4 linked regions of the Caenorhabditis elegans genome follow. The protein of the gene in region 4 purifies or fractionates together with the protein of the main gene of each other region. This does not show direct contact. Each region holds a gene or a part of one and is shown on either strand. Other genes may lie near its edges.

What was found.
Region 1: the proteins of xpg-1 (region 4) and top-3A fractionate together in Caenorhabditis elegans (co-fractionation; one large-scale study listed by BioGRID). This does not show direct contact.
Region 2: the proteins of xpg-1 (region 4) and rnr-1 fractionate together in Caenorhabditis elegans (co-fractionation; one large-scale study listed by BioGRID). This does not show direct contact.
Region 3: the proteins of xpg-1 (region 4) and B0395.3 fractionate together in Caenorhabditis elegans (co-fractionation; one large-scale study listed by BioGRID). This does not show direct contact.

What each region holds. Positions count from the first base shown.
Region 1 is NC_003281.10:11,956,455-11,963,442, reverse strand, and holds the start of top-3A (DNA topoisomerase 3), read left to right. Parts: upstream 1-3,262; 5' UTR 3,263-3,274; coding exon 3,275-3,418; intron 3,419-4,732; coding exon 4,733-4,893; intron 4,894-5,882; coding exon 5,883-6,011; intron 6,012-6,089; coding exon 6,090-6,271; intron 6,272-6,988. Other genes in the region: Y56A3A.28 (C2H2-type domain-containing protein), read left to right, coding at 1-25, 1,238-1,490. UniProt on the Caenorhabditis elegans protein: Component of the BTR double Holliday Junction dissolution complex, which is involved in homologous recombination during meiotic double strand break in the germline.
Region 2 is NC_003281.10:9,224,075-9,231,216, reverse strand, and holds rnr-1 (Ribonucleoside-diphosphate reductase large subunit), read left to right. Parts: upstream 1-2,966; 5' UTR 2,967-2,968; coding exon 2,969-3,094; intron 3,095-3,138; coding exon 3,139-3,417; intron 3,418-3,464; coding exon 3,465-4,195; intron 4,196-4,242; exon of another isoform or gene 4,243-4,367; intron 4,368-4,417; coding exon 4,418-5,068; intron 5,069-5,116; coding exon 5,117-5,696; 3' UTR 5,697-5,842; downstream 5,843-7,142. Other genes in the region: T23G5.3 (uncharacterized protein), read left to right, coding at 7-141, 1,154-1,281, 1,331-1,633, 1,687-1,801, 1,875-1,982. UniProt on the Caenorhabditis elegans protein: Provides the precursors necessary for DNA synthesis. Catalyzes the biosynthesis of deoxyribonucleotides from the corresponding ribonucleotides.
Region 3 is NC_003284.9:16,033,096-16,041,526, reverse strand, and holds B0395.3 (Choline/carnitine acyltransferase domain-containing protein), read left to right. Parts: upstream 1-2,295; 5' UTR 2,296-2,301; coding exon 2,302-2,362; intron 2,363-2,411; coding exon 2,412-2,515; intron 2,516-2,562; coding exon 2,563-2,643; intron 2,644-3,173; coding exon 3,174-3,346; intron 3,347-3,400; coding exon 3,401-3,566; intron 3,567-3,869; coding exon 3,870-4,041; intron 4,042-4,149; coding exon 4,150-4,331; intron 4,332-4,624; coding exon 4,625-4,725; intron 4,726-5,390; coding exon 5,391-5,647; intron 5,648-5,698; coding exon 5,699-5,799; intron 5,800-5,856; coding exon 5,857-6,303; 3' UTR 6,304-6,491; downstream 6,492-8,431. Other genes in the region: mboa-1 (O-acyltransferase), read right to left, coding at 6,850-6,980, 7,878-8,193, 8,264-8,431.
Region 4 is NC_003279.8:6,556,584-6,564,252, forward strand, and holds xpg-1 (XPG (Xeroderma Pigmentosum group G) DNA repair gene homolog), read left to right. Parts: upstream 1-2,110; 5' UTR 2,111-2,116; coding exon 2,117-2,204; intron 2,205-2,338; coding exon 2,339-2,577; intron 2,578-3,039; coding exon 3,040-3,366; intron 3,367-3,421; coding exon 3,422-3,505; intron 3,506-3,762; coding exon 3,763-4,198; intron 4,199-4,245; coding exon 4,246-4,719; intron 4,720-4,769; coding exon 4,770-4,930; intron 4,931-4,976; coding exon 4,977-5,108; intron 5,109-5,194; coding exon 5,195-5,716; 3' UTR 5,717-5,763; downstream 5,764-7,669. Other genes in the region: tre-1 (Trehalase), read left to right, coding at 108-521, 705-1,008, 1,053-1,343, 1,602-1,748; tmed-3 (GOLD domain-containing protein), read left to right, coding at 6,124-6,264, 6,317-6,607, 6,773-6,952; bag-1 (BAG family molecular chaperone regulator 1), read right to left, coding at 7,128-7,256, 7,319-7,662.

The sequences.
Region 1 (6,988 bases), on a different chromosome or scaffold from region 4:
AAGGACCAATTATGAGAAGATCTAGGTCAGAAGAAAATTTCCAAATTTTTTGAGTCAATTTACAGTAATTAGATCAGAATTTAACTTTAAAAATGTTCAAAAAATTCATTTTGATGATCAAAAATTAGCTTTAAAACCCTTATTGGCCAAAAAAAATCGAAATTAGCCTTAAAAAAATGAAAATTGGCCTAAAAAATAAAAATCGTCCTGAAAAAATTTATATTGGCCTAAAAATCGCAAGTTGGCCAGAAAAATCGAAATTGGCCTAAAAAAATATAAATTTTCCTAAAAAATAAATATTGGCCTAAAAATAAAAATCGTCCTGAAAAAATTTAAATTGGCCTAAAAAATAATAATTGACTTAAAAAATCCTAATTGGCACAACAAATAAAAATCAGCTTAAAATAATGAAAAATTGGCTTTAAAAAAATATAAATTGGCTTAAAAATTCCAAATTTGCCTCAAAAATTTAAAATAGGCTTGAAAAATACAAAATTAAACCAAAAAATCTAAAATTGGCCTATAAAATCAAAATTGACTAAAAAAAAATTCAAATTGGCTTAAAAATTTCAAATTATCCTTTAAAAAACTAAATTGGCCAATAAAATCCAGTTGGCCTATAAAATCAAATTTCGCTTAAAAATTCCAAATTGGCCTAAAAAATTAAAATTGGCCCAAAAATCTAAATTGGCCTTAAAAATTCCAAATTGGCCTTAAAAAATCCAAATTGGCTTTAAAATTTCAAATTGGCCTTAAAAAACAAAATTGGCCTATAACATCGAAATTGGCCTAAAAATATCTAAATTGGCTTTAAAAATTTCAAAATTGGTCTAAAAACCTCAGTGGCCTGAAAAATTCCAAATTGGCCTAAATAAAAAAATTGGCTTTAAAAATTTCAAAATTGGTCTAAAAACCTCAGTGGCCTGAAAAATTCCAAATTGGCCTAAATAAAAAAATTGGCCTAAAAAAATCAAAATTGGCTTAAAAATCGCAAGTTGGCCAGAAAAATCAAAATTGGCTTTAAAATTTCAAATTGGCCTTAAAAAACAAAATTGGCCTAAAAAAATTAAATTGACCTATAAAATCAAAATTGGCTTTAAAATCAATATTAGCCTTAAAGAAATCAAAATAGACCTGAAAAATTCCAAATTGGCCTGAATAAAAAAATTGGCCTAAAAAAATCAAAATTGGCCTATAAAGGTTTATAAATTTTTTTTCGAAAAACCATTTTTTTCAGAACAATTCCTCGATATCACCCCGAAGACCAAGTCGAATCGATACCGACAACAATGAAGTACACTGTAAACGAGAAATCCGTTCGAGTATCCGTCGCGGCGACACGCCGACGGCAACTTCGAGAAGATCATACTTATATATCGGCTGCCGCCGCATCCACTTCAAATGAGCCTTATGTAGAAGAAGAGGAAGAGATTATAGAGGAAGCTCCAATTGGAGACGAAGATGATGAAGAAGAAGAAGTTTATGAATGAAAAATGTCACATTGCACCATTTGATTTTTTAAAAAATATTTTTTCTGAAATCATTATTATTTTCAGATTATTCACATGATTTTCCATACTTTGTTATTAGACTCGAAACTGTCTGAAAACAACGAATTTCATAGTGAAACTTTTTGAAAACTTCTCAAAAAAAAAGTTATGACGGTTCAAAAAATGACCCTAAATTAGTTAAAATTTGAAATTTGACCGTCTTGGAAACTAACTTTTTTGAAAAATCACCGTCTAATTTTGGCTATACAAGTTAATTATCTTGCGTTTTCAACTCGATTTAGGTACATTTAAATGGTTATCAATTCGCAAAATTTTTAGTAGAAGTTTTGGTAAATTTCGAAAATTTCCAAGTCAAAGAATCAAGTGAATAGCCAAATTTTGTGGTAATTTGCCACATTTTTTGGAATATCGCCAGTTTTTTTTTGTTGAAAAATTGCCACAAAAATTGAAAATATGCCAATTTTTTGATAAAATGCCCAATTTTTCAGTCAATGTTTTTTTTTTGAAAAATTGGCAAAAACAATTGAAAATATACCAATTTTTAGAAAATTGCATAACTTTTCAGTCAATGTTTTTTTTTTGCTCAATTGCCAATTTTTTTGAAAAACTTTCAAGTATTTGGTAAATTGCCAAATTTAAAGTTAAATTTCCAAAATGTTTCCCAAAATTAGACGGTGATTTCAAAAAAGTTAGTTTCCAGCCGCTCAAATTTCAAATTTCAACTAAGTCATTTTTGAGCCGCCATAACTTTTTTTTTTGAGAATTTTCCAAGAAGTTTCATTCTGAAATTCGGTGTTTTCAGGCAATTTCGACTAAACCAATGAAGAAAAATATTGGAAAAAACATGGTGCAATCGACCTACTTGAGCCGACATGCAAAAGTAATCACATTCTATTTTTTTTTTTCGAATTGTTCACATTTTTCCCTGAAAACCCCCACCCCTCTCGTACATGTAATATCATTTCACCGTAATCACCTCATACAAATGTCATTTTTTAATGATAATTCTCTGCTTTTTTTACCGCAATTGTGAATAAATTTCAATTTTTATGAAAAATAATTTTTATATGTTTTGCAAGTTTTTGTTTCAGGTCTTTACACCAGATTTATTTGATTTTTTAAAAAGATTTTTGGAAAAAAATTTTTTTTTTGAAATTTTTTAGGAGAAAAAATTGTGATTTTTTTCGAATCAAATTTTGAAGAAATTATTATACAATCATTAGAAATTTTAAAAAAAAATAATTTTTTTATTGGAATTTTTTTTTGAATTTTTTTCGAAATGTTTTTTTTTTTAATATTTTTTGTTGTTCAAAAGTTAATTTTTTTCCTAAAATTTAAACCACTTCCAAACCTAAAAATAACCATATTAACAAATCCAACAAAATTAAAAATATTTTAAATTTTCTCAAAAAATTTTGAAATTTTTTTGATTATTTTTCAAAAAAAAATTTTTTTAAATTTTTTTGGAAGAGCATTTTTACAAATAGGGGAAATACACAAAATATCATTTGCAAATGAGCACAAAACGTTTTAAAAAATTAATTAATACTTTCAGAAAAAAAAAAGTTTTTTTCTGAAAGTGTTTTGTAATGTCGAAATACTTAATAAAACATTTTTGGAAAAAATCTCAAATTTTCAATAAAAAATTTTTTTTTTGAAATGTTGAAAAAAAAAAATTTTTTTAACTTTTTGTGAACGCTCTCAACGCTCTCTCTCATTTTTTAAAACTGAAAAAAAAACATAATTTTAAGCTCAAATTCCCAATGAAAAGAGCCTTATTTGTGGCCGAGAAGAATGACGTGGCAAAGGGAGTCGCTGCGATTTTATCAAATGGAACAGCGAATCGACGAGAGGGGCGGAGCAAGTTTAACAAGATTTACACGTTGAATACCGAGCTTTTTGGACAGGTACCAGCAGTCATTTGGCTCTGAAATACCCAAAATAGTCTAAAATCCGCAAAAAATCACTATTTAATCAATTTTCGGTAAATAAGAACTGCGACCAATCAGCGATTTGCTCCGCCCACTTTTCAACCAATCAGGTGAAGTGGGCGGGGTTAGGAGGTGTTTGAAATACCCAAAATAATAGTCTTAATTCACCAAACGCCGCCCACTCCATCTGGTTGGTTGGAAAGTGGGCGGAGCGAATCGCGCTGATTGGTCGCAGGTTCAAAAAGTTGGATTTTTAAATTTTTCGCTATTTTTTTTCGGTTTTTTTGTGATTTATACGGAATTCGAGACTAGTTTGAGTATTTCTAAGCAAAAAATCACTATTTTTATCAATTTTCGGAAAATAAAAACCGCGACCAATCAGCGATTCGCTCCGCCCACTTTTCAACCAATCAGGGGTAGTGGGCGGGGTTAGGAGGTGTTTGAAATATCCAAAAATAGTCTTATATAAAGAAAAATCCACCAAACCCCGCCCACTCCATCTGATTGGTTGGAAAGTGGGCGGAGCGAATCGCGCTGATTGGTCGCAGGTTCAAAAAGTTGGATTTTTAAATTTTTCGCTATTTTTTTTCGGTTTTTTTGTGATTTATACGGAATTCGAGACTAGTTTGAGTATTTCTAAGCAAAAAATCACTATTTTTATCAATTTTCGGAAAATAAAAACCGCGACCAATCAGCGATTCGCTCCGCCCACTTTTCAACCAATCAGGGGTAGTGGGCGGGGTTAGGAGGTGTTTGAAATATCCAAAAATAGTCTTATATAAAGAAAAATCCACCAAACCCCGCCCACTCCATCTGATTGGTTGGAAAGTGGGCGGAGCGAATCGCGCTGATTGGTCGCAGGTTCAAAAAGTTGGATTTTTCAATTTTTCGCTATTTTTTTCGGTTTTTTTGTGATTTATACGGAATTTAAGACTATTTTGAGTATTTCTAAGCAAAAAAATCACTATTTTTATCAATTTTCGGAAAATAAAAACCGCGACCAATCAGCGATTCGCTCCGCCCACTTTTCAACCAATCAGGGGTAGTGGGCGGGGTTAGGAGGTGTTTGAAATATCCAAAAATAGTCTTATATAAAGAAAAATCCACCAAACCCCGCCCACTCCATCTGATTGGTTGGAAAGTGGGCGGAGCGAATCGCGCTGATTGGTCGCAGGTTCAAAAAGTTGGATTTTTCAATTTTTCGCTATTTTTTTTCGGTTTTTTTGTGATTTATACGGAATTCGAGACTAGTTTGAGTATTTCTAAGCAAGAAAAATCCTATTTTTGCAGCAAACCGCAATTTCGGTGACAAGTGTTTCGGGACATATGATGAATTTCCAATTTCACGAGAATATGTCGAATTGGCAAACGGCGTCGATGGTCGAGTTGTTTCGAGCTCCGGTTCGGCATGTTGTCACACCAGAGATGAAGCTCATCGAGCAGACATTAAGGTTAAATTTTACGGGGGGGGGGGGGAAGGCAGGCATAAAGTAGGCAGTCTTTTGTTGGCGCGTAGGCGCGTAGGTAGCCATAAGGTGAGCTTGTAGGCAGGTAGGTAGGCATGAGAAATGTATCTATTACTTGTAGGTTGGCGAAAAGGCGCGTAGGTAGGCAGGAGGTAGGCGTGTAGGCAGGTAAGCGTGGAGTAGGCGAGTAGGCGCGTAGGTAGGCAAGCATACGGTGGGCGTATAGGCGAACGTATACTAAGATTAAGGTATTGATGTAGGTGGGCATGATGTAGGCGTCTAGGCAGGCAAGCGTGGAGTAGGCGTGTAGGCGCGTAGGTAGGCATGAAGTAGGCGTGTAGGCAAGCGTGGAGTAGGCGCGTAGGCAGTCATAGATTAGGCGTGTAGGTGCGTAGGTAGGCATGAAGTAGGCGTGTAGGCGAAAATTTATACATGTAGATAGGCGTCTAGGCAGGCAGGCATAGAGTAGGCGTGTAGGTGCGTAGGTAGGCATGGTGTAGGCGCGTAGGTAGGCATGATGTAGGCGTCTAGGCAGGCAAGCATATAGTAGGCGTGCAGGCAAACTTATAGGAAGCTTAAGGTATACCTGAAGGTATACATGTAGGTAGGCATCTAGGCAGGCAAACATTGAGTAGGCGCGCAGGCGCGTAGGTAGGCATGAGGAAGGCGCGTAGGCAGGCAAGCATACGGTGGGCTTAAAGGCGAACGTATAGGAAGCTTAAGGTATTTTTGTAGGTAGACATGAAGTAGGTGGCTAGGTAGGCAAGCATTGAGTAGGCGCGTAGGTAGGTATGAGATAAGTGCGTAGGCAGGCAAGCATAGAGTAGGCGTGTAGACGCGGAGGTAGGCAAGCATACCGTGGGCGTTCTGGCAAACGAATAGTAAGCTTAAGGTATCGATGTAGATGGGCATGATGTAGGCGTGTAGGCAGGCAAGCATATAGGTTCTTTATAGAAATTTTTGGAACTTTTCAGAGAACAAGCCCAACGACACGATATCCTGGTAGTCTGGACAGATTGCGATCGAGAAGGTGAAGCAATTGGCGCTGAAATTGTTAAAGTTTGCAGAGATAGCAACCGGCGGCTGGATATTTTCAGAGCGAGGTAACACAAAACTCTGAGAATGCGTACTACACAACATATTTGACGCGCAAAATATAAAATTCCCAAATTTTATTATAGATTCTCCGAAATCACAAAAGCAGCCATCACACGAGCAGCTCGGAATCTCATCCGACTCGACGAGAAGACCGTTGCCGCAGTTGATTGTCGAAGTGAATTGGATCTTCGAATTGGATCCGCTTTTACAAGACTACAGACGTTGCATTTAAGGAATCGATTCAGAGATTTACTGGGGCAAAATGGTAGAGAAATTGGGAAATTTGCAAAAAAAAATAATTTTTGAAAAAAAAGTTTGGAAAAATACCAAAATTTGGGCAATTTACTGAAAGTTTGGAGGTTTTCCAAAAAAAAAAAATATTGCAGAAAAAATTGAAAATATACATTAAAATTTGACAGTTTCCAAAATTTTGGCGATTCCAAAAACTTGCCCAATTTACCAATTTTCTGGGGTAAAATTTGCCAATTTGCCGGAAATTTGCCAATTTTCTATAAAATTTTTTTTTTTTTTAATTAAAATATACCAGAAAAAAATGTGATTTATTAAAAATTTGGGAATTTATCAAACAAAGTTCCCAATTTTATGAAAATTGGATTTTTGGCGGAAAATTTAAATTTTTTTATTAATTTACCAGAATATTTGGCAATTTACCAAAATTTCGGCGGAAAATTTTAGCAAAGTACACAAAAAAAAATTTGGTATTTTTCTAGAATAATTTGAAAATTTCCCGTTTTTCTACTAAAAATTTTTTTCACGGATTTCTGGCTTCCCATGACTTGAAATGGAAGAGTTTTTGCCGAACTAGGCCAGGCCATATCTGGGGTAGATTTACGGCGCGCGTTGCGTGTCGCGTCGCGGCTCGATTGTAAAACTAAATGTATTTGTCCGTGTGGAGTCCGGCAGGCGATTGTCAATGGAGCGCGGAAAATGCAATAAGGAAGACCAGAACCCCGTGAAAATC
Region 2 (7,142 bases), on a different chromosome or scaffold from region 4:
TCTCTAATGCCACCTCCACCATTAATATCGCTTGATGTTGAAGGTGTATATTTTAAGACAAGGATAGCTACTTTGAAATCTATAGAAGGAACTTATTTTACTAAATTATTCGAAACTAATTGGAGGGAGCAGCTTGATAGAGTAAGTCTAAAAAAAAAGTTGTAACTTACAAAGTTTAAAGCATTTGGTAAATTGCCAAACTTCTTAGAATTTTAGAGCATTGCTGCAGGTCCCTAACCTCCTAGAATGTCCAAACACAAATGATTATTGCCATGTTGTTGAATTTTGTGATTACTGGCGCAAAAATACGGTGCCGGGTCTCGACACGAAACTTTGCAGCTACCGTACTCACAGGAACTTCGCAATTTGCTACGATTATTCATGATTTTTAATACAAAATCTTCAAATTTTGTTCCGGAAAACGCCTACTATCAAACAAAAAAAATCGTGGAAAATTGTGAAACACTTTCGGTTACTGTAGCTGTAAAGTTTCGATAGTTTTGAGACCAGGTACGGTATCCAAGCCTCAAAAATCGCAAAAATTCAAGAATGGGTAATAAGCATATACTGTCAATAAAAATATCATAATGCTAAATTTTGCGCTAACAGTACGGTACTTTGTCTCGGAGCGGCAATTTTTTTTAATTGAAAAGGGTGTGCGTCTTCAAAAAGTACTGTAATTTTATTACATTACTCTTTAAAGGCGCACATTCGTTTCGTATTGTCGAGACCTTTACGCTTGTCGAGACCAGGTACCGTATTTTTAGAATTAAAAACCGCATAAACTGCTCTGAACACATCAGTTATAAAATATATTAACACTCCATTAAATAGAATAAAACCTCATTTGGTCAACTAACCTTCCCCAAGATTCCCAATGCCTTGTGTTAAATACTCTGCGTATATGTCTACGTCATCAAACATCTGCAGGCCCATTGAATCATTCAAATAATTTTCCACCACCACCCGTTGCCATACTTTTCACCCGACACCACAACCACTAACACCATTCCCTTGACCTCCTCCTGGTGTGACGTAGCGCACTGTTCAAAAGCAATGACCAACTGGTTGTTGGGTGCCTGTGACGTCAATTTGTGACGTAGGCAAGAATGGGGGTTACGGTAGATTGGGAAAATTTGAATGCTTATTTCAGGATGGTAGACTCTTCATCGACCGTGATTCTTCAGTATTTCCGGTTATTCTCAACTTTCTAAGAGATCATGAGAAATGTTCATTGCCAAAAGACGAATATCAGCTTATGCGAATCTTACGTGAAGCGGTGTAAGTTCGGAACAAATCAGAATATTGCAAAAAGTATAAATCATTATAGATTTTTCAAAATTGGACCACTTCGAAACATGATAGAACATAAGCTGCGAACATTTTGTACTTGCCCACCTGAACTTCCATCAACTCCAATACCGAACCAAATCTTGACCCAAAAAGAAAATGTTCCGATTGTCCCACGTAATCTTCTTCTTTCGAAACCACCTCCACCTCCACCACCACCACTTCCGTCATTGATGCAGCCGAAGGATACTGTACAAATTCCGATGAGAAAACCTCCAACTGGCAGAAATTCCAAAAAAATTAAAACGTCTGCAGATTCGATTAGTCTTCCAAGGAACTTTACGTGAGATTTGGATATCTTTTATCTATTAATTACTTACAAAAGTTTATTTTCAGACATATTGCACATGTTGGTTGGAATGGTGCATCGGTACTTTTTGATAAGAAAATGACTGATGATCCGACTGTGAGGAAAATCTGTGATGCTGCTGCAGAGGCAGTTGATCTTAGTGTGAGTAACTTTCTTGAAAATTAGTAGAATATCTATAGAATTATAAAATTAAAATTCATTTATCTATTTTCAGGCGGTATACAATGTTGTCAACAAAAATGCGGATGAGGAGAGCCATAGCGTGGAAGTGCTCATAACTGGAGGATTAATGCAGTCAAGAGATGGAACATCTCGTCACTAACCATTTGAATATATCTGTGTCAAAATAAATTATTTATGTCATGTCTTGCATGCCAACAGATACGCGTTTTTCGAATTTTCGAAAATTCGCAATCACAGCTGGTGGTTTTTTATTGTCTGAATTGACCGACAGCAAATTTTAGTGATCTCTGACAAAACATCAGAAAATAAAAAACTACGCTTTTTTGTCCGCAGTTTGAAAATTTAAGGAAAAACTGAATATAAATATTATTTCATCGAAACATGTTTTTTTCTTTAAAAAATTACCGTACTCTTTCAAAGGCGCACGCATAAAGTTTTTAAATACAATATTTCGTGTCGAGACCATTACAGTAACCCGCGGCAAAATTGTGTTTTACAGCTTTTATTTTCGGGGTTTCTTCTGATCTTATGCATTTTTATGTGGTTTTATTTTGAATTTTACGTTTTTTTTTAAATTTCAGAGCAATGAAATGCGATTATCGGACTTGTCCTAAAGGGCGGAGCCATGGTTAGAGGCGGTGCTTGTGGTGCCGAAGGGTATAAATAGATTTTTTCCTCACACAGAAAACTAAACACATTTTTTGTTTAAATGAAATTCTTCAGCTGTGAATTAATATTTCATTTCAAACTGCCGTAGTTAGAAATGCTCAGGACCGTGGATTTTCGGTTTGAATTTCTAGGCCAATTTTGTGTGTTTCGACATTAGCTCACTTCTATCAGAAAACCATATTGAAGCCAGAATTCGTAGGAAAATATAATGTATTCTGTTTCACTGTAATACTTGTTTTTTCTATGAGACCAAGATTTCAATAATTCGTTTTCCTTTTGAATTTGAATTCCGATGGAGCGCGTTTGTTTGGTCTGCGTCTCGTTTTCGCGCGTTCCTCTATTACCTAGGCGCGAAAACTAGTAAATTTGAGATGAACTGGTCATTTGAAAATTCTCTCCGCTCCTCCATTTTCACTCTTTTCTTCTCAAATTGTTAATAATTCATCTTTTCCAGTTATGCAACGTTACAACAGCACTTATGTTGTCAAGCGGGATGGGCGAAAGGAAGATGTACACTTCGACAAGATCACTTCCAGAATTCAGAAGCTGAGCTATGGATTGAACATGGATTTTGTCGATCCGGTTTGTTATTAAACACAAGTTCAATGATGAATTAAATTTTCCAGGTCGCTGTTGCAATCAAAGTTATCAGTGGCTTGTACAAAGGAGTGACAACTGTTGAGTTGGATAATCTTGCTGCAGAGACTGCTGCTTCCATGACCACACAACATCCGGAATATGCTCTTCTTGCCGCTCGAATCGCCGTTTCGAACTTGCACAAGAAAACGAATAAGGTGTTCTCGGAAGTTATGAAAACCCTTCACGAGTTCCATCATCCTCATACCGGAAAACACGCACCAATGATCAGTGATGAGACTTGGGCTATCATTGAGAAGAATGCTGATGTTAGTTTTCCTAGGAATTGCATTTATTCAAAAAAATTTCATTTCAGAAGCTGAATTCCGCCATCGTCTACGATCGTGACTATTCCTACACCTATTTCGGATTCAAAACACTGGAGCGTTCCTACCTTCTCAAGATAAACAAGGAGATTGTCGAGCGCCCACAGCAGATGTTGATGCGTGTTTCTATTGGAATCCATGGAGATGATATTACTTCCGCAATCGAGACCTATAATCTGATGTCGGAGCGTTACATGACCCATGCGTCCCCAACTCTCTTCAATTCGGGAACATGCCGTCCTCAGATGTCTTCATGCTTCCTTCTGACAATGAGTGAAGACTCCATTCTCGGAATCTACGATACATTGAAGCAGTGTGCTCTTATTTCAAAAAGTGCCGGAGGAATCGGACTCAATGTTCACAAAATTCGCGCCACTGGATCTGTGATCGCTGGAACTAATGGAACATCTAACGGACTCATACCAATGCTTCGTGTCTACAATAATACTGCTCGTTATGTTGATCAAGGAGGAAACAAACGCCCAGGAGCATTTGCTATTTACCTGGAGCCATGGCACGCCGATATCTTCGAGTTTGTATCTCTCCGCAAGAACACTGGACCGGAAGAGGAACGTGCCAGAGACCTGTTCCTTGCTCTTTGGATTCCAGATCTCTTTATGAAGCGAGTCGAGAAGGATCAAGAATGGTCGTTGATGTGCCCATGTGAATGTCCAGGACTTGATGATTGCTGGGGAGAGGAGTTCGAAGCTCTTTACGCCAAGTAAGTATCTCCTGGTTCTTATTTTTTTAATTACCGAAGTGCGATATCCAGACAGAACTTTAAGAGTACTGCTTGGACTGAGTTTACTAACTTCGAATATGAAATAGTTGATCGATAACCGGAATATACTCAAAAAAAAAGGTGTGCTCCGGACAAAAATCAACTAACAAAAACTTTTAAACAGTGAAGTTAAATTTGCAAAGTTCATATCAAAATTTCCAGATACGAAGCCGAGGGACGAGTCCGCAAAACGGTGAAGGCCCGCAAGCTCTGGGAGCACATCGTTTCCAACCAAATCGAGACCGGGCTTCCATACATCACCTACAAAGATGCCGCCAATCGCAAGTCTAACCAGCAAAATCTTGGAACTATCAAGTGTTCCAACTTGTGCACTGAAATCATAGAGTACTCTGCTCCAGATGAGATTGCAGTTTGCAACCTTGCTTCCATTGCTCTCAATCGCTACGTGACCCCCGAGAAAAAGTTCGACTTCGTCAAACTGGCTGAGGTGACTAAAGTTATAACCAGAAATTTGAATAAGATTATTGACGTCAACTACTATCCAGTCGAGGAGGCTCGCAACTCTAATATGCGCCATCGCCCAATCGGGCTTGGTGTCCAAGGACTCGCTGATTGCTTCATGTTGATGCGTTACCCATTCACTTCGGCAGAAGCCAGAGATCTCAACAAACGAATCTTCGAAACCATCTACTACGCTGCATTGGAAGCCAGTTGTGAATTGGCTGAGTTGAATGGACCATACTCGACATACGAAGGATCTCCAGTATCGAAAGGACAGCTTCAATTTGATATGTGGGGAGTCACTCCAACCGATCAATGCGATTGGGCCACTCTTCGCAAGAAAATTGCAAAGTAAGATTAAAATACTCTTTCGAATCTGATTAAACTACTTATTTACAGGCATGGTATCCGCAACAGTCTTCTGATGGCTCCAATGCCAACTGCTTCCACTGCTCAAATTCTCGGAAACAATGAATCCATCGAGCCATACACTTCGAACATCTACTCTCGCCGTGTTCTTTCTGGAGATTTCCAGATTGTGAATCCTCACATGCTCAAGGATTTGGTGGAAAGAGGATTGTGGACTGATGAGATGAAGAATCGTCTGATTGCCAACAATGGATCCATTCAAAACATTGATGGAATTCCATCCGACATCAAGGAACTTTATCGCACAGTGTGGGAGATCTCTCAAAAAGACATTATTGAGATGGCTGCTGATCGTGGAGCATACATTGATCAATCCCAATCTCTTAACATTCACATGGCCAAGCCAAGCTACGCCGGTATCACATCAATGCATTTCTACGGATGGAAGAAGGGACTCAAGACTGGAATGTACTATTTGCGTACCAAGCCAGCTGTCAATGCAGTTCAATTCACTGTGGATAAGAATGCGCTGAAAACTAACCAACAAGCTGAGACGCCAGCCACCGTGGCCGAGTCGCAAGATGAAGGATGCCTCATGTGCTCCGGATAATCATTTTTTCTTTCACCCGTTGATCATGTTTGTACATTCCCAAATTGCTCACTTTTTCACTTTAATCTGTTATACTGATAACCCTATTTTGCTCGCGGTTACTCATTTTTTCTAAAGTTTTAATGGTCAATAAACTGACAATCTGAGTCCTCGAGCGATTTGAATTGCAGGAGCTGAAAAATGTGGAACCGTGTTAGGTTTACATCCGAAACTTCGGAAGTTTTCCTCTTCTCATGCTCTAGTAGTTTTTTTCCTAAATACTCTCTCAGCAACATCATGGTGCAACAAAAGTGGGTCTCGACTGAAGGTGTACGTGGGTAATGTTTAGTGAACCGTCAATCGAGCAGATTTCAAATGCGCCCTTTCGATTCTCTTTTCGTGTGCTCAATGAGCCGGAATAGAAACATTGAACTATGCGTAGAGCTCCTCTCGTCAGATGGGCCCCCGGTTCTTAGCGAGATTAGCTTGATTCTTGGTTTTTTTGCTCATTGCTCTTTTTTTCAAATAAACTACTACTCGTTTCCTCCCTGTCTCGTCATTGGAAGCTGTTCATCGTCTCTTTTGTCTTTTTTTGGGTTCTTTTTCCGTTTTTGCTCATTTCGACTTCAAAACGATTGATGACTTTGTTTCGGTTTGGCTTTTTTGGCTCAGAAGAGCACTCAGAGAAGCTATGAGACACACGAAATGATGAAGATGATGATGCTTCTGTCGGAACTTTTGTGATTCTTTTTTTTTTGGAACTTTTGAGACGGATTTCTTCCTTTTCTCGTTTTTTTTGTTCGAAAAAAGAAATGTTTGGTTTCCTAGACTGCATGCGATGAAATATGATTTGTGTGACAAAAAAGCAGAAGGTTAAGATGATTGGATTAAGGATTGAAAAGCAACACTATAGAATCAAAATATATGAAGTTCTTTGGTTTTTCGTTTTTTGAGAGAAAAAACTATTATTTACATTCATGAAATGTTTCTTGATCCTCGAGGAGCAGTTATTATAGGTTTTTTGTTGGATTTCATTTTAAATAAAACTAGATTTGGAAACTTATTTTCAGAAAACTGAAAACAAATGTAAGAGTCAGTTCTGAATACTTTCCTAATATTGTAATTTCGTAAAAAGTTAAACGTCTCAATAAAGGCGCAAACTGCTTTTCTCAGTGGGTCTCGCCACGATCGCCGTCGAAATGGTCGTTACAAGGACCAAATTTAACAGAATTGTCTATAATTGTTTATTTGATTTGGAAATAGAAATTTGTAAAACTTCAAATCCTAAACTGTGAAAACATTTGCAATAAACTATTTCTTACCTAGTTATACGTTTTAGCAAAAGCTTGACAAATAGTTTGCCGCCATAGTACTGTAGTTCTCCTATTTTTGTAGGTTTTAAAGGATTTTAAACGCGCATTACTTTTTTGTTTTAAAATAAGATGATCGTAAAAATAAAAATATTCT
Region 3 (8,431 bases), on a different chromosome or scaffold from region 4:
GATGTAGATTTTTTTCTGGTGTAAAAATATAGAAAAATTGTTAATTGTTCTTAGTGGAAAGCTTCGACAAACTTTTGAAATTAAATTAATTATTAATCCTTGTTCAATAAACTCGGCATTTGGCTCGAGATTCATGTCCAAGTTTGGCCCAAAAAACATTAACTTTGATCCGAAGTTTGATAAACTTGGGCAAAAGATGACCAAGACTTTGGCAATACTGGGATTCGGGCCATCAAAGTTTAACCCAAGTTTCTCCCAACTCTTGCTAAACTTTGGCCCAAACTTTTTGTGTTTCGTTTCAATCTTCTGTAGAAGTTTGGCAAGAGCTGGGTGAAATTTGGGTTAAATTTTGATGTCACCTAAATCCAAGTTTTGCCAAAAAGTCTTGCCCAACTTTTGCCCAAGTTTAGTTTTTTATATAAGTTATAGCCGAATTCCTAAAAAAAACTATTAGAAAAGTGTTTAAAAAAAGAAAAAAAGTTGCAATTGATAGATTTCCAAATTTTCGGGGATCCAAGTTGCTTTCAAAAAGTATTCAATTTAAAAAAAAAATACTCCAAAGACAAAATGTTGCTAAAATTTTTTATTTGGAATAAAAACAATGATGGGGAAACATTCGAATAACATTATATTTCCGCTAATTATGAATTTGAGAAGCAAATTGCAAATATTTATGCTTAGGCGATTTTTTTAAAATTTGTTTCATCAGAAATTGAAAAAAAAAGTTTTAATAATGAAACTCCATTAGTTTTCTGAAATAATATTAAAACGTTTGGTTCAACTTGTAATTTCCATAAGTTGTGTCTTAAAAAATGTCAAACAGAAAAATTAACACTTTCACTACACAATCCAATTACTGGCTGCCATCCAAATCCAATGACCTCTTCTCATTAACTCACACCATTTGGCTACACATCGTTGTTTTCTTCCTCCATTTCTCGGCCTCTTTGTGGATACCACGCGGGGTTTTTGTGTGGTAGGAGAGAACTTAACTTGCCTCCATTTCCTCCCCCCCCCCCCCCCACTCTTTGGACACAACACAACTACTCGGTTTCTTCTGTTTTCGCTGCCTGTGTTTTCTGCGTTCCGCCTGGTCTTTCTGTTTGTGCCCCCTACATCACCACACACACACACACACACACACACTCCTCTCTTCCCATATGACCCCTGCCATTCACCCGCCGTCACTCGTTTTCTAAACACTTTGATCTTACGCCCCAAACATTTGGAACACTTTTACACTCTGAAAATCAACAAATTATTTTTTTTGTTTTGTTACTTTTTAAAAATGTTTTTTAAGTTTTAAATTTTCCAAAGAAAAATAAAGATATAGTATAGATATTTTTGAAAACTACTCACATAGTGCTAAAAATGACCGAATAAAAAAAATAAAACTTTTCAAAAAAAATTTTGAAATTTTTTTATTTACTGTCAAAAAGTGACAATTACTCAGTTTTGCCACTCATAATTTTAAAAGTCGACCAAAAAAAATGTTTTCTTATATTTTTTTTACTTTAATTTTGTTTTAATTGATCGTATTAAAACATTGTAAGGGTTGGAACATATGACATTGCTCATATTTTTTAAAGTTTTGGCAATTTGAAATTATGAAAAATTTTAAATTTTTAAATTTTTTTGAGTGTTCTATTATGATATTCGGTTGTTTTTGACAAGTGTATGTAGATCAAATCCCCACAGGCGCTATTCTTTAACTAAAATTTAGTTCCAAAATATTAAAAAAAAATTATTTAAATTTAAACATGTGAGAAAATGCAAAAAGTTGTTATAAAATTGCCAGATGCCAAAAAAAAAACGAATTTTTTTGTGAGACTTCATTTATTTTTTGAAAATTTTTCAAAACAATTTTCAATTAACATACAACAAATTTTTTTGGTTAACAGATCACTCTTCTATTATTTACGCTAAATTAAAAAAAAATTGCATTGAACCAACATGGTGCATTCCCTTTTACATTCTCTTTCTTTCATACAAGCTTACATTATATTCATCAATTTGAGTAACAAAACCCGTCGAAAAAATGCTGAAATGTCAAACAATGATTCGACCACAGATCTCCGTGAGTTTCTCCCCAAAAATATTAAATGCTGACCAAAATGACCATATAAAATTTGGACTACGGCGTAGTGTAGTCTGAATGATCATTGATAACATTCCCCCACCCGGGTCTTCCCCCACAAAACGTCTTTCACTTATCACTATAGTAACTTTTCGCAGCGTTTTGTGAGGGATTACCTGTTCCCTCAAAATTTTGAGCATTCAAAATTCATTTTGCAGCAACTAATGAAGCACAGTGTCAACGCAATGGCCGGAGGTCACGGTGCAGCCCGTTATAATTCAACAGGTGAGACTAAACCTTTTTTTCGATTGTAAATACATTGATGACGTTTCAGACCTACCAAAACTCCCGGCTCCACAACCAATTAAAACGCTGAAACACTTCCTGGACTTTGCACAAGCGTTGCAGTCAAAAAAGGAATTTCAAGAGACAAAACAGGTAAAAATAAAAAAAAACATTTGGAGCAAAACAAATGTCAATTTCAGATTGTAAATGATTTTGTGGTTAAGGATTTGCCGAAATTGCAAGAACTGCTGCAGAAACGAGCCGACGCACTTCCGAATTGGGTAAGATTTTTAACACTTTTTTCTAAAAAAAATAATTAGAAAAATAAATTCAAAACAACTTCCCCATTTATGATTAGGAGTAGTTAATTTTCAGTTTGGACCAAAAAAATAGAAATGTATCAATTAACTTTATAGGTTTAGCTTTACTGCAAACCAATGACACCTTTAAGTGTACCCTAAACCTAATTTTAAAAAGTTTGATACTAGAAAACTTTACAATATTTTGAAAATATTTAACGGCATAAGTAATACCTATCAGGTATTAGGCATAATGTTGGGCGTTTATATTAAATAATTTTTTCTTTGCAAAACAAACAATTTCTTGGAAATTGGTCCACAAAATAATCCGCCAGCCTATAAATTGAAAACATCAAAATGAAATCAAAATGTTGCTGAAAAAGTGACAGGGCCAGCGCCATAAAAATAGATTTCCAAATTTAACACATGGTTTTATAATATATCTAAAAACTAACTATCTTAAAATTGAGCAAGTTGGCGTTTTTTTACCGATTCAAACAAAAGATTTTCAGCTCACACCATGGTGGCTCAACATCGCCTACCTAGCTGCTCGTACCCCACTTCCAGTCGTCACATCTCCAGGAGTCATGTTCCCTAAATTTGACTATAACACCGAGGAGGGACAACTGGAATATGCAGCAAAAATCAGCCAAGCCGCTGTCCACTTTTACCTTCGAGCAAAAAAGTAGGCTTCTGGTTCAATTCGATGTTTTTTAGTTTTCAAAAAACATTTTTTCAGTAATCAGTTGAAGCCTGATATGGCAGGAAAGTCGCCGCTTGATATGAGCCAGTACCAGTTCTTGTTTGGAACAACTAGGGTACCTAAGGTTGGCGTAGATGAGATTAGATATGGATGTGACTATAAGGAGAAATTGCAACACATTTTAGTGATTAGAAATGGACATGTGAGTTTTTAAAAAATGTTATTTAAAAATTGTATCACTGATTCTTTATAAAGACTAATGAGGTTATTCAATTAATGTTGCAAAATGTATTTAAATACATTTATTACGTCACAACTGTATTAAAATACAAGTTTTCAAAAAATGTATTTTAATATAGTTTGCACCTAATTTTTCTACACTTTTTAATTTTTCGACACTTCTTGAATAACCCCATAAGACTTCAGTTGTTCCATCTAATTGAAGTTGAAAAAAATATTGCAAACAGATTTCAACAAAACCGTTAAAATCTCCCTACATTTTCAGCTCTTCCGCGTCCAAGTCCTAGACTCCAACGAGCAGCCACTCTCAATTTTTGCTATTACTCAGCAACTGGCAAAAGTCGTTTCAGAGAGTCAAACTCCAAACCCACATCCAGTGGGAATTGTCTCCTCCGATAGTCGCGACAAATGGGCAAATGTATACTCATCGCTGAAAAGTGAGCTTTCGAGAAAAAAAGTTTCAAGCCAAATGTAGAAGTTTTGCTTAGCTCCATTGTGAAGATTTTCTTTGAAGCTAGCTATGCTGATAATAATACTATTTTCAGAGGATAACAACAACGCGAAATCCCTGGAAGCCGTCGAAAAATCGTTGTTCGTAGTCTGTCTTGACAAAGCTAGTGAACCACCAGTTGGCTACACGGAGAAAGATGAGCAAAGTAGGCAGGCACTGCATGGTGGCGGCTCCAAAGTGAACTCGAGCAACAGATGGTTTGACAAGACTATTCAGGTGTGTTATTTAGTTTATCCACGGCGTGTCAGGCTGTCCCATTACGGTTTGATCTACAAAAAATGCGGGAATTTTTTGCCCATAAAAATTATACGTCAACACGTTCTTAACCAGACGAAATCAGTTGAGAACTCTGCGTCTCTTCTCCCGCATTTTTTGTAGATCTTTGTAGATCAAGCCGACATGAGACACTCTTACACCACGTGTTTATCGTTCATGCACTCATTTTTTTGCATTTGATCAGTAGAGCACATTTGCATTGCAATAGCAAAAAATATACCTGGAAATTTCAGTTTGTCATCGGAACAAATGGCTACACCGGAATGACGTATGAGCACACTCCAGCCGAAGGACCACCAGTCGGTGCACTCATGGATTTTATTTGTGATCAATTGTGAGTTTTTGAAATTTATAACTGATTACAAAAAAATTTGTTGAAAAACTTGAATTTGAACAGAAATTTAAAATGTTGTCTTTTTCGTTTTATCGTTGGGTCAAAAACCGGAACTGTGGCACTTTAGGTGGAGTAGCGCCAGTGGGGAACTTGTGAAAAACTACTCCTACACATGGTGCCAAAATGACCGAATATCATAATAAATCCTTTCAAAAGTTTTTTAAAATTTTTTTATTTACTGTCAAACAGTGACAGTTACTCAGTTTTTCCACATATAATTTTGGAAGTCGACCAAAAAAAAAATTTTTCCTACATTTTTTTATACTGTAGTTCTGTTTAAATAATTTGTCTTAAAACATTGCATGTGTCGTTTTTCAAAATATTGGCAGTTTGCCAAAACTTCGGCCGGAAATTATGAAAAATCGAAAAATGTTTGGAGTGTTTTATTATGATATTCTGTCGTGTTGGATCATAATAAGTGTATTCAGACCAAATTCCCACTGGCGCTACTCCACCTTTAACCATAGCAATATAAATATTTCTGATCCTACGCTTCATCAAACAAGTTTATTTAAAATGTTGCAAAAAGTATTCTGGTAGCTTGGATATCTTCAGTTAGTAACATTTAAGATAATATATCTATTATATTTCCTTCAATTTTTCAGTGATGCTAACACATTCATTACTGAAGGCACACCTTCCAACTCCCCAGTGCAACGTCTCGATATTTCCACTGACGAGGAAATCAACAAAAGAATCGCCAAGAGCTCCAAGAACATGGACAGCATCGCCGAGGACCTTGATATCGTCGCGTTCACGTTCAAGCCCTACGGAAAGAATTTCCCGAAATCCTCAAAGATCTCGCCCGACTCGTTCATCCAAATGGCTTACCAATTAGCTTTCTACCGGATCCACTCATCGCGTAAGTCAATTATCCCCCATCTTACAATTTGATGACGAATTAAATTTCCAGTTCCACCAACCTACGAGACGGCCACTTTGCGTAAATTCACCGAGGGTCGAACCGAGAACATCCGATCTCCGAATACAGCTGCAGCATCATTTGTCAAGAAGGTGTGTGTTTGTGTGTGACCTAGATCGATCACCCAATTTAACTCACTCAATTTTCAGATGGTATCTAAGCCTCCTACGCCGGTTAGTGAAATCTACGATGCACTTGTTCACGCAACAAATTCGCATAAAAAGTACACCATGGATTGTATGGATGCAGCTGGAATGGACAGACATTTATTGGCATGGAAGTTGATCGCTACTGAAAATAATCTCCCAACCCCAGAAATCTTCGGTTCCAACATCTACCAACAACTCAACCATTTCCAAGTCTCCACAAGTCAAGTTCCCACACGGCATTTCATCCAAATGTGCTTCGGACCATCTGCCCTTGATTGCTATGGAATTTGCTACAACCCACAGGAAACTGAACTTCACTTTATGATCTCAACATTCAAGAGCTACGGCTCGACGAGTTCCAAGAAGTTTGCCAAGGAACTTCAAAAGGCGCTAATTGACATGAAATCGGTTATTAATAAGGCTACAAAAGAAATGTCCAAGTTGTAGGAGATCATATTTTGATACTACTTTTTTTTAAAGAATAACATTTCACACGCCATAACTAGTGCTCCTACGTGTTCAGATCCCAATGTTTTTTTTTCTGCTTTATTGTAATTGATTGAAAATGCTTGTAGATATTTTATGAAAACATTTTATATGAATAAATAATTTGTATAATAAATACGTTTCCGTCAGAGGTGTATCACAAATATCCACGATAAATCTACAAAACATCTAATATTGGGGTGATAGCCAAGAAATAGAGAAAAAATGTGATTGATTTCAGAATTGTTTTGCTAAAATCGATAGTTTAAAATATGCTATTCCTGCCATAAAAATTGTGTGCATTTATCTAGCAGACCGATCAAAAGATTTTTGGTACAAATAAGCATATTTTACAATGAACCAACTTCTATCAAGTAACTAATATTTATTTTTTCTGTAAAAACTAGTGACAAAACTTTTGTACAGTTTAAAAAATAATTCTCAAATAAAATCAACAAAATACAAAAAAAAAAAACGAATACCCCGTGTGACAAATAATTAGAGATTTCATGAAGTTGGTGGGTGACAATTCCAATGTCTCGGGAACAAAAGGTCCACAACGGCATTGGAGTACGGGGCACAGTGTCCACGTCTCGCGTACCATTCTTGGCCGTAGAAAGCAATGAACATTCCGGTTCCTGAAAGATGGTTGTATTTTAGTGGTTTTAACATGTTCTAAAGCAATGTTCTTTTAGATTGAACACTTGATTTTTTAGAAAATTCGAAAATGTGGGTGGTATTATGTAAATGGTTGGAAAACTCAGACAACTAGATATAACATTTTTCATAGGAACTTCTTGCGGGAGCTACTTTCTTAAAGATGGTGTAGTCGAATTTTTTCCATTTCTTTATTAGACTTAAAATTGTTTGAAAACACCGAATTTCATAATGAAACTTCTTGAAAACTTCTCAAAAAGTACTTATGACGGCTCAAAAAATTGCCTAAAATTAGTTAAAATTTGAAATGTGACCTACTTGCCAATGTCGTTGGAAGCAATTTTTTTAAAATCACCGTCAAATTTTGAGTATACAATTTGATTACCTTACGTTTTCAACTCGATTAAGATATATTAAAGTCGATGGACGACGAGATTGTTAATTTTTTAAACCAAGACAAGTCGGCCAAATTTAAAATTTTAACTAATTTTAGGCAATTTTTTGAGCTGTCATAACTTTTTTAAAAGAAGTTTTCGAGAAGTTTTATTATGAAATTCAGTGTTTTCAGACAATGTTAAATGTAATAAAGCAATAACAATTTCTACTACACCGTATTTAATTCTAATCTTAAGTTTGAAATGGTTGAAGTTAATAAAATAGTTAAAAAGAAAAAAAAATCCAACAAAAGTGTTCCCGTGTATGCAAACTGACCAATTTTTAAAAAAATTTTTAACAAATCAGACTGAAGTTTTCTGAGCTTAGCCTGATTTTAAATATTTAATTCAGAGACATTTATAAAAAGTGTTCCATATTCAATATGCTAACTTTTCTTCAAATAATCTCTCTCTCTCTTACTATTTCGTCGTTCTTTCACTTACCAATTAACAAGTTAAACCATAAAGCAGTGTTCCACGCGGAACGGTTTGTAATAAGACGGGAAACTGCAAAGAAGGTTCCGCCGAAAATGAAGTACAGTACGAACATAACAGGGTAGAAACATCTGAATGCGACTCCAAACCAGTATTCATGGAATACGGCCGAAAGGAAAAACACTGCCATTTGAGCGGCACGTTGACCTTTTCGTCCTGGATTATAAGCTGCCAGGTCCCGGAAGACGTAAGCGTACAGCCAGTCGTGAACAACCAGGTTCCAGTTTCGATAGTATTCTGCCATGTTGGAAGAGTGCCACCAGTTCTGAAAATTTTTTGAATTCAAACTTGGGCTCAAACTTGGAAATCAGAAAAATAAATGAAAAATATCTTACCAAATAAAATTGCCTATCAGCAAACTGCATCATTTCAGAGAAACAATTCAACCAGCAGTGCAAAAGTCCATAGAAAAGTGACGTCATGCAAATGATCCCAGGGATAATTCCAGTGAACAGAGAAAGAGCAATTGTGGAAAAGCTCAGGCTAGTGTAATCCTGAACATG
Region 4 (7,669 bases):
GGAGGATAGATAACTGTTCGAATGTTTATTCTTTCAGTGGTAAAATGATCTACTGAATTGGCCACTAGAATAAAGTTCTCCAATTTGATAATAAAGATTAATTTCAGTCACGGTTTCGTACCAAATGGAGGTCGTGTCTATTATCTAACACGTTCCCAACCACCTCTATTGACACCGATGGTCTACGAATATTACATGAGCACAGGAGATTTGGATTTTGTAATGGAAATTCTTCCAACCCTTGACAAAGAATACGAGTTTTGGATTAAAAATCGACAGGAATGGTTCAAAGACAAAGATGGTGTCAAGCAGTTTCCATATTATCAATATAAGGCTAAACTCAAAGTACCGAGACCAGAATCATATCGTGAGGATTCGGAATTAGCAGAGCATCTGCAAACTGAAGCGGAGAAAATTCAAATGTGGAGTGAGATAGCGTCGGCTGCCGAGACGGGATGGGATTTCTCCACTCGATGGTTTTCTCAAAATGGAGATACAATGCATCGAATGGATTCTATAAGGTATCGAGGGTGTTGGTTTTTTGGTTAAAAAAAAATCTTTTTTTGTTAATTTTCTATACTTTTTTTTCCGATTTTTTGGTTTTCTGGATTAATCGAAAAAGAAAACAGAGAATTTCTGTGACATGCTGTCTTTACAAATTCAAAAATTACAGTTCCGAGGTTTTAATTCTAAATCAAATTCAGAACGTGGAGCATTATCCCAGCCGATTTAAACGCTTTCATGTGTGCAAATGCTCGAATTCTGGCGAGTCTTTATGAAATTGCTGGTGATTTCAAAAAAGTGAAAGTATTTGAACAACGATACACTTGGGCAAAACGGGAAATGCGTGAATTACATTGGAATGAAACAGATGGTATTTGGTATGATTATGATATCGAATTGAAAACTCATTCAAATCAATATTATGTATCAAATGCTGTTCCTTTGTATGCAAAATGTTATGATGATGATGATGATATTCCACATCGTGTTCATGATTATTTAGAGGTTAGTGTCACTCTAAAAAAAACGTATATATTGGGAATTTTCAGCGCCAAGGACTATTGAAATACACAAAAGGTCTTCCAACATCTCTTGCAATGAGTAGTACGCAGCAATGGGATAAGGAAAACGCATGGCCTCCAATGATTCATATGGTTATCGAAGGATTCCGTACAACTGGTGACATAAAACTGATGAAAGTTGCTGAAAAGATGGCAACGTCATGGCTTACTGGAACATATCAGTCATTTATCAGAACTCATGCTATGTTTGAAAAGTATAATGTTACTCCACATACTGAAGAAACTTCTGGAGGAGGTGGAGGAGAATATGAAGTTCAAGTGAGTATTTAAAGATGTAATTCCGAAATTCCACAAATGGAAAAAAAAATAATCAGAAAAATTGAAAAGTTTTTTTTCAAAAAGCGATTTCTCAATTTTGACTGAATTTTTGTTTGTTTTTTTCAAAAGTTAGATGATTCTTCTTTTTTTCTTTTCGTATTCCTAAATTTTGAACTATTCTGGATATTTTCAAGCAAAATCCCACTGAGAAAATAATGTAAATTAACAGAAAAAATTGGAAAAAAAAATCATTTCCAGACTGGCTTTGGTTGGACAAATGGCGTTATTTTGGATTTATTGGACAAATACGGAGATCAATTTGCATCCAGCTCTACAGCTTCCAAATTCAGTTTTTCCCTTTCGAATATCACATTTGTAGTTTTTATTTTGTATATTTTCTCATAGATTCCTGTAGAATTTGCACCTGATTTTATTATTTTCTGTTGTGTATAGTCCAGTTCCCTCATTTAGATCTTTTTTAACTAAAGAATCAAAAACATTGCCATAGCGATTGCCTTAATTTTTTTGTTTTAAATATCAAACTCACATTTTGCTTTTTCTCATCCGGTCCAACCCCCCATTTTCAGATTATAACGATTGTTTTCTTTCGGGTTCTTTTTTTCCTTATTTTCAAAAAACCTTTTTTAGTTCATAAAATTTTTACTTATACCAGTTCCTTATACCAGTATATATTGGTTTTTATGTCACGCAATTCTAATGTAATATATTTGATTTATCATCAAATTTCCCAATTATAGAAATTAATTCAAGATATGGGAATCACTGGATTATGGAAAATTGTAGAACCAACGGCAACAGAGATTCCTTTGGAATGTTTAGAAGGAAAAAAATTGGCAATTGGTAAGCTAAAAAACAAATTCAAAACTATGTAAAATTGTTTTATTTCGTATATTTAAGTTTTCATGTATTGGGGTACTGTACTTTTCACTTTTATTCTGACATTACATGTTTTGTAATTTTTATCATTTTTTCAGATGTTTCAATTTGGATCTATCAGGCTCAACTCGCATATCCATCGGATCAACCGTTTCCACATCTGCGTCTCCTTGTAAATCGTCTCTCTAAACTTTTATTCTACAAAATTCGTCCTGTTTTCGTGTTTGATGGACCACAAGTACCACCTCTCAAACGTCAAGTCTTAGAAGCGAGACGGCAAAAAAGACAGAATGATGATGATATTCTTAAGAATTCGAAGAAAATGGGAAAATTAAAGGTGCTGAAAAAATCTCAAAAAATTAGGGTAAAATTAATTTATTTAGAACTTCATGAATTTTTCAGACAGCGAAAAAATAACAAAATTTTTCCATCAAAAACATGACGAAAAACAACGAAAAAGCTCTGTTCATGAAGCAAGAATACGGCGCACGGTCTCGAAACAACCGAAAATTTTCTTTGAAAAATACTCCGAAAATGGTTATGCGCCTTTAAGTAGTACTGTAGCTCCCGTTTCCTATTTTTTGCAATTAAATTTTTGGTTGTTAAAAGACAAACTAGATTTTTTTTGTTTTTTAAAAGAGCAAAAAAATGAGCACACTCTTCACGATCTTCATTAAAATATATCGATTCGTTTCAAGACCCGGCTCTATATTCTCGCATCAATTTTTTTGAAGTTTTTAACTGTTTAAAAAGTTTTAAATTATTTCCAAATTCTTTTGTTAAACCAATCAATTTTCAGGAAATTGCCAGTGGTGGTCTTGATGACGTGGCACTTGCGAATGCAATCAAAGAAGTTATAAGTCCATCGAAAAAAGTAATTCTGAACGACATTTATAAGGATATTCCCTCAACAAGCACATATTTGGATAAACCTTCTGCACATCAAAATGATCAGCTTGTTTATGGAAATATTGAAGATTCAGATTCAGATGATAGTGATATTATTATTGTACCTACTGTAAAAGAAGAACGAATTTCGAAACAATTTACTTCTCGGAAACTGGAAATTCAAAGTCTCGTGGAAAAAAGAGAGATCATGAGAAATAGCAGATTACGGCCTGATATGGTTGGATTTTATCTTTTAAAAAAGTGTTTTTACAATAAGCTAAAACGATTTTCAGATTCCACAAGATTCGAAAAGTTTCAGCAATTTTCAAATGCAGCGTCTACTCAGAAGAGGTCGTCTGAATGCAGAAATTGAACAAGTAACTTTATTGAATTACATAATTTGCTACTTATAAAAATGTATAAACTGAAGTCATAATCCGTTCAATTTTCTTTGATTTTTCCACATTTTTAAGAAGTTTTTTTATTTATGAAGAAAAAAACTCTGAAACACATTAAAACTTTAGAAAAAAACATTTTTTAAAAGTGGGTTACTGTAGTTCTTGAAGCGGATATTTACGGTTTCCGAAAAGTTTTTAGTGAAAAATCGCTTTAAATCCACATTCTATAATTTCAGTTAGCCAAGTCTACAACAACCTCCACAGGTGGATACTCTTCTGATAAAATCAACGTAACTGGACCAGATGGAACTTCTCACATTTTAAAATATGCACATAGTGATGAGATTCAAGAAGTTCGCCCAGAATTAAAACGAGATATCGATAGTCTTTATCAAGAACCTTTATCAATGACACTTGACTTTTTCAATGTAGAATATGGTGGAAAGAAATTAAGCAGAGAAGTGACACCTGATGATGTACGAGAAGAGATTGTTGACAGATTAGAGGAACGTTTAATTGACAAGAAAGAAAGAGGATATCAGAGTAAATCGGGAATGTTGGAAGCAATTGCGAGAAAAAGAATTCGACAACATTATGGTACTGAAACTGTAGAAGATAAGAAAGAGGAAGAAAAAAGAAAAAAGGAACAGAGAATAGAAGATGATATGATTGGTAAAACATTTAAAATATAAACAAAACTTGTTTTATTATTTTTTTAGAAGTCAGCGACGATGAGATGGTTCTTCAAGAAGTTCTACTTGAAACAGCTGCAAAATCATTGGATAAGAGAATGGCTAGCTTGGAGAAACACAAGGTTCCAAGTGAAGATGAGGAGATTGAATGGGATCCTCAACGATACGATAAGCCATCAACATCTTCTGCTCCTGCTCTCATGGAAGATTATATTCATTTGAACTATAGTGATGAGGATGATAAGACGCCTGAATTATATCGTGATCTTCAAGAATTTCTTACAAATGCAGGCATTCCGTGGATCGAATCGCCTGGTGAAGCGGAAGCTCAATGTGTTGAGCTGGAGAGACTTGGATTAGTTGATGGTGTCGTTAGTGATGATAGTGATGTGTGGGCGTTTGGAGCACAACATGTATATCGTCATATGTTTTCTAAGAATCGGAGAGTACAACGATATGGAGAGCAGACAACAGCGAATAGAGATAATTGCAAACTTTTTTGTAAGATTTATGGCAAACATTAGAATATTTCCTGAATTCTAAAAATCTAGGTCTCCAACGTGAGGACTACATTTCAATTGCTCTGCTCTCTGGGGGTGATTATTGTGCAGGACTTGTAAAAGTTGGAGCCATTGGTGCACTTGAACTGGTGTCCGAGTATGTTGAATGTAGGATTGATAATACAAATGATCTTAAAGTCATTGAGAACAGGGTAAGATAATTACACATGTGATGGAGTCCCTTATGAAAAGTTTCAGATCATGAGGCTCCTTAAAAACGTGGAAAGTTTGTTCTTAACTGCTCCGGATGATAAACGAGTTGCTAGTCGAAATGCAATGATGTTGAGAAGACATGTAACTGAAGCAAACGATATGGAGAATATCAAATGTGTACTTATTTTTAGATTTTTGAAAACAAAACAACATACTGAAACTCATGTTTCTCTTAAATTCCTAATAGTTCAATTCAATTTCAGGTGTGCTCTAATCAAGACGCTGTGCATGCCTACCTTCATCCCATCGTTGATTCATCATCAGAAAAACTTCGATGGCGCCAGATGAATATTCCATTGATCCGTCGAATTCTTCATCAACGCCTTCAATGGCCTGATCGCAAACAGCACAACGAAGAGCAGAATTCATTTGACGCTTTCGAAAAATGGAATAATTTTCTAAAATCCGGTGGACAAAGCCAAATGCGATTAGACCGATTTTTCGCACAGAAATTGGATAGTTCTCTCGAACTAAAATGGTCGAAAAAAATTGTCGAGGCGCTGGACAAAATTGGACAACGTGTAGCGGGAACTATGAAAAACAATGAAATGTCAAAAGAAAAGAAAGTTGATAAACAAATCAAGAAGAGCAAAACAGCTGTGAAACGTGTAACTCGTGCCAGAGGAATAGGTCGCGGGAAAGGAGGAGCACTTCTTGTACCAGCTAATAGTAAACTGAATCTATCTGAGGAAAGCAGTTCTAATGATTCTTTTGATGAATTTTAGTTTTTAGCTAATTTATCTATTGAAAATAAATAAAAATGTTGCATTTTACACCAATTTCTTTTATTACGTTGAAGTTATTCTGTCAATTTGTGAATATTTTATTGATATTAATATTTAATACAAAATAATGAATTTAGCCTTCTCTTACAATTGAGCACAAAATGTGCAATGTTCTAATGTGTTCTATTTTATGTTCTATTTATAATATATTTATTGTATAATTAAATATAAATATTGTGCGCTGCAAGTGCGCCCCTTTGAACTAGTGTTCTGTTGGCATTTTCCATGCGTCGAATTTCTCTCCTTTTCACGTTTTCTCTCTATTAATAGAATAATTATAATTTTGTATTGCTTCTTATCCAATTCGAATAAATTTGTAAAAATATTTCAACTTTTCAGCCAAGATCATGCTCAAATTTGTCATAGTTTCATCAATTCTTGTGGCCCTAGGTCTGTCAATCGAATTGACATTCGAACTTCCAGACAACGCAAATCAGTGTTTTTATGAAGATCTGAAAAAGGATGTTGACACAGTGTTTGAATTCCAAGTTAGTATTTCAATTGAAAATCGTAGAAACTGTAATAATTTGATAATTTCAGGTTGTTACTGGAGGCCATTATGACGTAGACTTGATCATTGAGGATCCAAATGGAAAAGTTTTGTATAAAGATACTAAAAAGCAGTACGACAGTATCAACTTCAAGGCCGAAGTTGAAGGAACATACAAAGCATGCTTTTCAAATGAATTCTCCACATTCTCTCATAAAATCGTTTACATGGATTGGCAATTCGGTGATCAAAATGCTCTTCATGCTGCCGTTACTCAAGGAGCTCATGCAATGACTCAATTAGAAAATTATGCAGTCGCTATTGGAGATAAATTGAGAACAGTAAGATTTTTATTTAAAAAGATTTATTTTTACAATTAGAAAATGCTCAAAACGTAACTTTTTCGAATTTTATGAATTCGTTCATTTTTCCAACTCTATTTTGCTGGGAGCTTACTAAAAAAGTTGTTCACCCGACATTTGACATACTTATAAACTTTTTTGTAGATTGATGACTATCAAACTCATCATCGTCTCCGTGAAGCAACTGGTCGCAAACGTGCAGAAGAACTCAACGAGCGCGTGATGATCTGGTCCCTTGGTCAATCTGCCGTCGTAGTATTCATTGGAATTGGCCAAGTTTTCCTGCTCAAATCATTTTTCAATGATAAAAGAACTCGTTATTAATTTTTTCACACCATTGCTCTTTTTTTTGTAATTAGCAGCCTTCTCATTTTAATGGGTCCCGTCAGTTGTTTTGCCCCTTTTCCTCCCTTTGATACATAGCATAAGAATATAATTTATTGATTTATAACTGAGTTTCATAACATAAAAACCCGAAGCAATTTTATGCAATTGAGAATTATTCAGGAATGTCTCCGTTGAGAACTGACTGATATTCCTGGAGTCTCCGAAGAAGTGCGTCATTTTGATTAAGAAGAGTTTGGATTCCGTTTACGAGCGTCTTGCGTTTTTCACGGTTTCGCTTAGCCTGAAAGTTGATTGAACTGAATCGAAAACTTATTCAAAGTACAAAATAAAATTATGACACACCTGATTTTCGGGAGTAGTTTCAGTGATAATATTCATCCCATCAAGAGTTTCCAGATGTCTTTCCGCCTCTTCGTTGAAATATTTCACTTTCTTTTCCAGCTTTTTCCCCATCTCGACCTGCTTTGGTTTTTCGAGAAAACCACGTTCCAAATCAGCGACATCTCTCAAATTGAGATCATAGGCTTTTTGAAGATTGCTCAAATTATGCTTCTCATATTGCATGAGCATTTTGAAGCCCGCGTCATCAACCAAAGCATTTTTTCCACCCATCACAATGATTTTATCATTTTCTTTAAAATTTAAAGTAGAAAGGGAGACATCGTCGGCGCCTTGAAGAAACTTTCCTGTAAA